Sus scrofa: one gene and its partner. The protein of the gene in region 1 binds, or shares a complex with, the protein of each later gene. Links are inferred from orthologs where the notes say so. Each region holds a gene or a part of one and is shown on either strand. Other genes may lie near its edges.

The links.
Region 2: the proteins of RAD9A (region 1) and RHNO1 are in contact, whole or in part, in a crystal structure (PDB 8WU8), measured with the Homo sapiens proteins. The link is inferred for Sus scrofa from reciprocal best matches to the Homo sapiens genes RAD9A and RHNO1. Residues at the interface, in NP_004575.1 of Homo sapiens: Val41, Ser44, Arg45, Ser46, Ala47, Tyr48, Glu130, Leu132, Gln133, Ala134, Val135, Glu165, Tyr181, Glu183, Thr216, Phe217, Cys218, Gly244, Pro246, Val261, Leu262, Ala263, Thr264, Leu265, Ser266; in NP_001239428.1 of Homo sapiens: Thr88, Lys90, Phe91, Pro92, His93, Leu94, Thr95, Phe96, Glu97, Ser98.

Annotation. Positions count from the first base shown.
Region 1 is NC_010444.4:5,126,909-5,131,486, reverse strand, and holds the start of RAD9A (cell cycle checkpoint control protein RAD9A), read left to right. Parts: upstream 1-1,746; 5' UTR 1,747-1,876; coding exon 1,877-1,910; intron 1,911-1,995; coding exon 1,996-2,066; intron 2,067-2,493; coding exon 2,494-2,622; intron 2,623-3,601; coding exon 3,602-3,716; intron 3,717-3,804; coding exon 3,805-3,904; intron 3,905-4,578. UniProt on the Homo sapiens protein: Component of the 9-1-1 cell-cycle checkpoint response complex that plays a major role in DNA repair. The 9-1-1 complex is recruited to DNA lesion upon damage by the RAD17-replication factor C (RFC) clamp loader complex.
Region 2 is NC_010447.5:67,243,075-67,247,651, reverse strand, and holds the start of RHNO1 (RAD9, HUS1, RAD1-interacting nuclear orphan protein 1), read left to right. Parts: upstream 1-1,501; 5' UTR 1,502-1,649; exon of another isoform or gene 1,650-1,707; intron 1,708-4,577. UniProt on the Homo sapiens protein: Involved in microhomology-mediated end-joining (MMEJ) DNA repair by promoting recruitment of polymerase theta (POLQ) to DNA damage sites during mitosis.

The DNA of each region.
Region 1 (4,578 bases):
GCCCCTGGGTAGGGATGCTACCATTTATACTGACCACTCCTAAAAGGCAAGAATAACCTCCTCCGAAGTTTTGGAACCCTTGGTGAAGAACAGGAGTGGAGGGCAAGGAGAGGAAGAAACAGAGTGGGGTCAGAATCGCAGGCCAGGGAGCTCCCATCGTGGTGCAGCGGAAACGAATCCCACTAGGCACCAAGAGGTTGCAGGTTTGATTCCCGACCTCACTCAGTGGGTTAAGGATCTGGTGTTGCCATGAGCTGTGGTGTAGGTCACAGACATGGCTCGGATCCTGTGTTGCTGTGGCTGTGGTGTAGGCCAGTGGCTACAGCTCTGATAGACCCCTAGCCTGGGAATCTCCATAAGCTACAGGTATGGCCCTAAAAAGCCAAAAAAAGAAAAAAAAAGAAAAAAAAAAAACCCTGCAGGCCAGGAGCAGGAGGGCAGTGACCTGCAGACAAACCTGGCCTACTCACTGCAGACAGTACCAGAGGGGCAAGGCTGGGTGTTGGGGGGGGGTGCCCTTCAAAGAACGCGGAGTGCTGCAGGGAACCAGAGGTCAAGGAGTCCCTCCAGGACCTCCTTCATGTGACACACCAGAGGATTTAGGCCCCCGGCAACAGGTAGACCTGTTACGTTGATGAACCCCCCGCCTTTGGCACAGTCCCTCGGTCTTTTTTTTCTTTTTTTGCTGTGCTGTGGCATATGGAATGCCCTGACCAGGGATCAGATCCCAGTTGCAGTTGCAACCCATGGCAATATCAAATCCTTAACCCCCAACCCCCACCCTACCGCTCCCCGTGCTGGGCTGGGGATCAAACCTGCATACCGGCATACCCGCAGGCCAGAAACGGGGAAGATGCCATTGCACCCCAGTGGGAACTCCTTGGCCTTTTTAAAGTGGCCACATGGGGGAGTTCCTTGGTGGTCTAGTGGTTAGGACTCCATGCTTTCACCGCTGCACTCAGGCCAAGGTTCAATCCCTGGTCTGGGAACTGAGATTCTACATCAAGCTGCTGCGAGCCACGGTCAAATTAATGAATGGCCACACACAGGAGTCCACCCTCGTAAAATATTTCCAGTTTCTCATTAGCAACCCTCAGCATTTGGCGCCCCCCCATCTCTCCTCTCATAGACCCATCTTCCTCTGAAGGGGCAAAGCCCCATGCACCGCTAAGTCTTTACTCTCGGCTTCCCCTGCCAGCCACACCCTTCTACTCCTTTCTGCCTGGAGAGTCTTATGTTCTCCGGGATCACTGAAGGAGTCTCCATGCCATAGCCAACAGCCACTTCCCACCCCGAGATCCCGCTTCCATCTCTTTTCGGATGGTGGTTGCTGCATCTGTCAGTGTCCCGCGGCCCCGGAATGGGTGCGACGGTGTTGTTTCGATCCGGAATCCCAACAGACGCCCAGGAAATCGGTACTACGTTTGTGACCCAGGCGGGCTCCCCCGTGCATCTGCAGATTCTTAGGTCAGGGCTCGCTCCTCCGCACCCTCTGAGCGCCTCGCGTTCGGGTGCGCAGCCGCAGTGGGCCCCGCTGACCAGCCGGGCTCCCCAGGGGGGCTGGAGGGGACAAGAGGGGCCTGGACGGCGAGAAGCCGCCAGCAAGGCAGGCGCCCAGCGCTCCCGGCTCACGTGACCGCCCCCCGCCCACTGCGGACCCAGTCACGTGACGGCCCAGCCGGCGAGCGTTTTCTCACGTGACGAGGCGCCAGCGTGTGGCCCAATGAGGAGGCGGGGGCGGGGCTGCCGGGGGCGGTGCGCGGGAAGGAAACCCGGGGCCTCCGCGGCTGCGGGGGAGACCCGGAGGGAGGGCGGCCGGGAGCCGGGGTACGGGGTGGGGCCCGCCGCCAGTCTCAGCCTGGTCGCGGGGAGCAACATGAAGTGTTTGGTCACGGGCGGCAACGTGAAGGGTGAGTTGAGGCCGGCCGGGGGCCGGGACACGTGGGACGGCCCAAGGCTCGAGCCCAACCCGGGTTTCTCCTCTCGTTCCCGCAGTGCTCGGCAAGGCTGTCCACTCCCTGTCCCGTATCGGGGACGAACTCTACCTGGAGCCCCTGGAAGATGGGGTGAGGGGCCAGGGTATTGGGGGAGGGTGGGTTTCCAACAGGGAACCCTAAACTGGGCTCGGAGTCTCGTTCCCATCAGGCAGGATGCTGTTATGCAGATTTGTCTGCTGAGTTACAGTTTCCTCCCCTGTTGTTGAGGTGTCGGCTTGGGCCCGGTCCTCTTCCCAGGCCGATGTGTGAGCTGAGAGCATCTGTCCTCACTCAAGTGTCTGGTGGCGGGTGGGTGACAAGGTAAAATGCGTAGGTGCTGAGGCCGACTCCGGGAAGGCGTCATGGTGAAGGTATCCGCTGACCGCCAGGAGAGGGAGGGTTTTCAACAGCTGATGGAAACGGAGGATAGCAGGGCAAGAGGGAGCAAAAGCCGGCCAGAGGGCTGGGCCTGTCACTGCTGGTGACCGCATCCCTCTCCCTGCTTTTCCTGGTCCAGCTCTCCCTCCGGACTGTGAACTCCTCCCGCTCCGCCTATGCCTGCTTCCTCTTTGCCCCGCTCTTCTTCCAGCAGTACCAGGCGGCCACCCCTGGTCAGGACCCATTGCGCTGTAAGATCCTGATGAAGGTGAGGCCCATTCCTCAGCCGTGGTCATGACTCCCCCAGGAACTCTGCCAGCAGTGTGCTTGCTCTGGGGCAGCTAGTAGGTGGCAGCTAGGGGGAGATATGTATGCAGGAGCAGGAGGGATCCCCTTCAAAATGCAGCAAGGGTGTAGTAAAGACAGCCACGGAGGGGAGGAGTTCCTGTCGTGGCACATTGGAAACAAATCTGACTAGTATCCATGAGGACACAGGTTCGATCCCTGGCCTCTCTCAGTGGGTTAAGGATCCGGCGTTGCTGTGAGCTGTGGTGTAGGTCGCAGATGAGGCTCGGATCTGGCATGGCTGTGGCTGTGGTGTAGGCCGGCAGCTGCCGCTCCGATTCAACCCCTAGCCTGGGAACCTCCATATACCGTGGGTGCGCCCCTAGAAAGCAAAGCAAAAAAAAAAAGATGGCCACTGGGAGTTCCCGTCGTGGCGCAGTGGTTAACGAATCCGACTAGGAACCATGAGGTTGCGGGTTCGGTCCCTGGCCTTGCTCAGTGGGTTAAAGGATCTGGCGTTGCCGTGAGCTGTGGTGTAGGTTGCAGATGTGGCTCGGATCCCACGTTGCTGTAGCACTGGCGTAGGCTGGTGGCTACAGCTCCGATTTGACCCCTAGCCTGGGAACCTCCATATGCCGCAGGAACGGCCAAGAAATGGCAAAAAGACAAAAAAAAAAAAAAAAGACGGCCACAGTGGGTGATGGAGATGTGGAGAGTGATTGATTCAGCCAGGGTCCTGGAGGGAGTGAGGTCATTCAAGTTGGTTCTTGAAAGCTAAGCAGATCTTTCGAGGTCTCCCAGATAAGGAGAACAGCATGAACAAAGGCCCAGAAGGGTGGATGTGTCTGCCTGTGTGTGCGTGGAAGGTCTTTTCCTGGTGTGACAGTGAGAGGGCCGGGGGCGGGGGTAAGGGGCCTTGAGAGCTGGTTGGTAGAAACATTAGGTGTGTGTGCCTCACCCAGTCGTTCCTGTCCGTCTTCCGCTCACTGGCGATGCTGGAGAAGACGGTGGAGAAGTGCTGCATCTCCCTGAGTGGCAGGAGCAGCCGCCTGGTGGTTCAGCTGCACTGCAGATATGGTGAGTGAGCAGCTGGCCGGCCCAGGCGTCTCTGCGGTGTGGAGGTGGAGGTCGGCGAGGCCCACTGAGACCCTGTCTGCCCATCCAGGGGTGAGGAAGACTCACAACTTGTCCTTCCAGGACTGCGAGTCCCTGCAGGCCGTCTTCGACCCAGCCTTGTGCCCCCACGTGCTCCGTGCTCCAGCAAGGTGAGCACGCCCCCTAGTTGCAGGCTGAGCCCTAGGTTTTTCTCTTCCTCCTTTGGGCCTCAAGGGTCAGTTTAAGAAGGCACCTCCTTAGGGAGTTCCCTGGTGACTCAGAGGGTTAAGGAGCTAGCACTGGCACTGGCACTGCTGTGGCTCAGGTTGCTGCTGTGGAGTGGGTTTGATCCCTGGCCCAGGAACTTCTGCATGCCACAAACCTAGCAAAAAAAAGGGGGCACCTCCTTCTTTTTCCTACAGGGTCTCTGTGAACTTCAGAGAGGTCATCCAGCTCTGTTTGCTTTCAGGTCCTTATCTGGCTCTTTGAAGGCAGAGGCTGGAGTGAGGAGGGGCCGGGTGTGCTCTTGTTCCACGTTCCTCACTGTTCTCTGGAGTCTGTATTCTCCACCTCAAAGGTCTGGCTTGGCTTTCTGACCACTCAGACCCATTCTGACTCCTGTTGAGAGAGCAGGTCTCTGGTCTGAGCACCATGGAACATCACTACGTTTTTGTGGCTCAGGGACTCCTCACCTTTCTCTGGCCTGGTCATCCTTCTGGGATGTTCCCCTTTGAAGGGCAGTCTCTCTTTCTGCCTGGTGGGGCTCTAGCCTTGAGGGGTCCCCAGGCCCAGGCAGGAGGCTGGGTGGGGGAAGGCTGCCTGAGTAAGCAGCTGTAGGGGTGGA
Region 2 (4,577 bases), on another chromosome or scaffold:
GAGCCACAACGGGAACTCCCTCTTTTATATTTCTTATAATATTTCACTTTATAAATTAAAGGATCTGTGCCCACAGAATCAGAGGAAAAAGGCAAATTATCCGTTGCACTATTGTCACACCACTGAAGGAAACATCTCCCAGTTCATGAGACCTCAGATAAAAGGGAAACTGCCCCCTTCAAGGCTCAGGGTACAGTTGTGCAGATCATGGCTGACATTCACTTAACAGGCTATTATCCTTCCACTGATTTAGGAAAAAAAAAAAAAAACATTTTCCCCACAATTTGCAAAATATTTATATGGAGACATTTTATAACTTGTAAGTACTTATTCATATTTTGATTTTCTAGGCATGCGACTCGATTAACTTTCAGAATCAAGACCATAATCCCTCTCTCCTAATAGAATGTGCTACCATCAATGTGCCCGGTGGTTCTGTAATGTTAATGGAAATCGGTTTTATCTTTTAAAAATTGTGTTTTGTTGATTTTAACAGATCCATGAATACTCTACCATAATGTAGAGTTGTGTGATTCTACTGAGAGGTGCTTTGAGAGACAGAGGAATAGGTTGTCTCTTTTTTAGGCTATCTGCAATCTCCCTAAAAATGATTGTCACACTCATATGACATTTGCCATCTGCTTAGAAGTCACAGACCTTCTCCACTCTGCCTCCTCCCTTTCCTTTACATCTAGGTTTCCTCTCCCTTCAAATCTCAGTTTTACCTCCACCTCCTATCTCTTCTGGCCTTCCTCCCTCCACCCATCAATCAGAAGACACTAGTACTGGCTTCCTACCCCTCACCCCAGGATATCTTTCAGGTCTAAAGTTTAATTTTCCTTTCTATTCAGACCACCCTCTACCTCCAATGGCCAATCCTTTCTAGCCCGGAACGGCTCCCGCGACCCCCGCGACCCGACCCCCATCCAGACCACATAGGACAAGGGTCTCCAGGACCGCGAGGAGGGCCCTGGGAAAGGGCGGGGTGGAGGCAGTGCAGCCTAGTGGTGAGGGCACCTGGGCGCAGGGACTGGGAGCTGGTCGGTGTCGGTTCTAAGCGGAGTGGGCTCAGATGGATCCCATCCGCCGTCTGCCAGAGCGAGCAGGCCGCCCTTCCTCCCAGGGAGGGCCCGGGCCGCTCCGCGAGAGAGGTGAGGAGGCCGGGAGGTGGTGCAGAAGCGCGGTGCAGCCCCGCCACCTCCCGCCGGAGCCGGCCCTCCGCGCCGTCTTGCCGCCGGGCCCCCGGGCCTCCCTCCTGCCGCCGCTCACCTCTCTGCACCGTCAGCTCTGGGCTCCCGGAGGCTCCGCGCTGCTCCCACCTGCAGGCCGGGCCGCGTCCCCGGGCTGCGGGGTGGGGAATCCCGGGATCCCGCCGCGGGGGGGGGTGTTGTCCCGGGCCGGGGCCGGGGGTGGGGTCCCGCTCCGGAGCTTTCAGTTTGTTCCGCTGTTTGAAATTGGCGCCGGCGGAGCGTTGCGGTCACGTGACGGGCGTGGCCAATCGGCGGCGGCCTTGTTTCCGCGATCCGCCTAGTCGTCTGGGCGGGCGCTGCGGTCCAGCCCGGCAGGTGAGGTTGCTCGGCAGGCGGGAGAGGCCAGTGAGGTGGCCCCGCCGGGCAGTGAGGTCGGCGGAGCGGCGGCGGGTGAGGCAGGTGAGCTGGGGAGTCGGGACCGCCGGCGAAGCCGCGGCGGGCGAGGCGGAACCTAGAGGTGCGGGCGCGCGGCTCTTGGGGAGGGCGCTGGAGGGCTCCGCTGCGGCGGGACGCGGGGACACTGGGTATCACGGGCAGGCCCCGCAGCCCTCCGGGCCCTGAGCAGTCGCCGCCCCGGGATCTTACCCCCTCAGCGACTTCCCAGCTGGTGGAGGGGATGGGGGAACTGTCCTCCGTTGACCTGCAACCAGCGACCGTCCGGAGCCCCTACCGGCCTTCGGGCTACTTGGGCGCAGTTGTGACCTTGTTCAAGCTCCCTCCTCCTCAAAATTTACATACAGGCCGCAAACTCCGCCTCGGCTCTGAACCTTCAATCCAAATCTCGTCCCCGGCCCCATGCTATCGTTTATATGTGGTAAATTACTTTATTATTAACTTAGGCAACACCTAAGTTTAGTTGAGCACCCATTGTGCACCAGGCGGCGCTAGGATGCAGTGGCAGAGGGGCCTTTCTCCTGAGCTTAAGGTCTGATGGGAGGAGAAAGAAGACATTTTCGAAGCAAATTACCTATTTAAACAAATGGAGAGTTCAACTGTGAGGTGATAAATTAGAACTCGGGGATCACATTGAGTATCTCCAGTAAGAGGATCTGGCCTTAAGGGAGGTGAGAAGAGCATTTCCCAGGAACTCATGCTTGGTCTGTGATCTGATACCTTTAGGCAAAGGTGGGAGGGAGACCCTCAAAGCAAAGGGTGGGAGGTGCTGCAGGGCAGTGTGGTAGGAGGGGAGGAAGGGAGGTCTGCACAGAGGCTGAAGCGTCTCTGAGGAGTGTGAGCTAAGAGACCTGTGCAGAGTGCGTGTGAGATGAAGCTGGAACCAGAGCCTCAGGACCTTAGCCACCACTGAAAAGTTTGGCCCTTACAGAGAATCAAAACATGTTAAGCAGAAGAGAGTCAGGATTAGATTTGCAGTTTAAAGAGTTCACGGAGGGGTGTGCCTGAGTAGGCCAGTTAGGCTATTGCACTGCCCTAGGCCAGAATTGTTGGAACTTGAAGGGTGTGGGGGCCAGAGGGAGTAGGAGAAAGAGGAGTAGGGTAATGTTATTATTTTTCACAAAGGATTACTTTTATCAAATTTTGGGTTGAACCTAATAAACAAGTCTCAGAAAAAATAGATGGCCACTAATGCTGATCCCAAGTTTAGTACTGAACTATCACTAAACCCTATAATTCTGTTTCCCCCCCTTACAAGTATAAATTGACATAACACATTATATTAGTTTCAGTTGTACAACATAATGATTTGCATTTTGTGTGTGTGTGTGTGTGTCTTTTTTAGGGCTGCATCTATGGCATATGAAAATTCCCAGGCTGGGGGTCAAATTGGAGCTGTAACTGCTGGTCTACATCACAGCCACAGCAACACGGGATCCGGGATCCGAGCTGCATTTGCGACCTACACCACAGCTCACGGCAACGCCAGATCCTTAACCCACTGATTGAGGCCAGGGATCGAACCTGAGACCTCACAGTTCCTTGTTGGATTCGTTTCCACTGTGCCATGATGGGAACTCCCTTGTTCTCTTTTCTTCATGCAAGTTTTTCTTCACATCTTTTCAGATAGGTCCTCCCAACCAGCCCTAGGTCTAAACAGCCCTAGGTCAGCTCAGCCCTTAGGCCATTTCCCTTTTATCTGTACCTCTTATCACTTCCCAACTAGATGTAAGCGCCACGAGGGCAGGGATTGAATTTTGTAATCTGGTAAATATTTTCAGCACATGTAACAGTGCCCAAAAAATAGTCATTCTGTAAATATTTATTGAGTAAATGAATGAACAAATGGATGTATTTATTACCTATGTTCCCCCTAAAATATTAGGGTACCCTCTACCCTTGAGGGTAGAGACTTAGTCCTTATTTTTCTTTACCTGCATCTCCACTGCTTAGTGACATGAGGGATGTTGCTTTTTTGTTGTTGACTGAATGGATGAGTCATGGCTGTATAGTAGAACCAGTCTGCCCTGCTGTGTGGACCTCTGGGATGCCCTGCCCTACCTCCTACTCTTCTGCCCACTGCATTCAGACTTTGGTCCCACCAACCATTGATAAGTTCTTACTAAAACTGATCTGGGGAGTTCCTGTTGTGGCTCAGCGGTAATGAACCCAACAAGTATCCATGAGGTTATGGGTTTGATCCCTGGCCCCGATCAGTGGGTTAAGGATTCAGCGTAGCTGTGCTGAAGGCTGGCAGCTATAGCTCTGATTTGACCTCTAGCCTGGGAACTTCCATATACCACACCTGTGGCCCTAAAAAGAAAAAAAAAGCTGATCTGGTTCTAGGTTCCCTGGATGCTTTTTCAGACTTTGTATTGCTTTGTGGGTCCTGCTGACCCTGCCTCTGTCTCCAGCCTCCCATCCCTACATGACACAGCCCATGTTCTGGCCTCATCTGCTCTCAGGTAATACAATAACCTTCTCACTGGTCCCCCTACTTCCAGGGCACTTGTTCTCTCCTTTCACGCTGCTGCCAGGACAACAGAAACAAACAAAAACCAGTTATGGCACTTAGGAGACAATTGAAAATTTGAACACTGGTTATTTGATATTTACTATTTAAAGAATCTACATATGTAAATATATATTGTATATTATATAGATACATACAAAATATAAATGTATGTATTTTATACATTTATGTTAAATGTATAGTGTTAGTTGTGTTAATAGGAATGAAACCATGACTGGGAATATCATATTTTTATTTTTATTTTATTTATTTATTTTTTTGTCTTTTTGCCTTTTCTAGGGCCGCTTCCGCGGCATATGGAGATTCCCAGGCTAGGGGTCCAATCGGAGCCATAGCCACCAGCCTACGCCAGAGCCACAGCAATGCGGGATCTGAGCCGCGTCTGCGACCTATTCCACAGC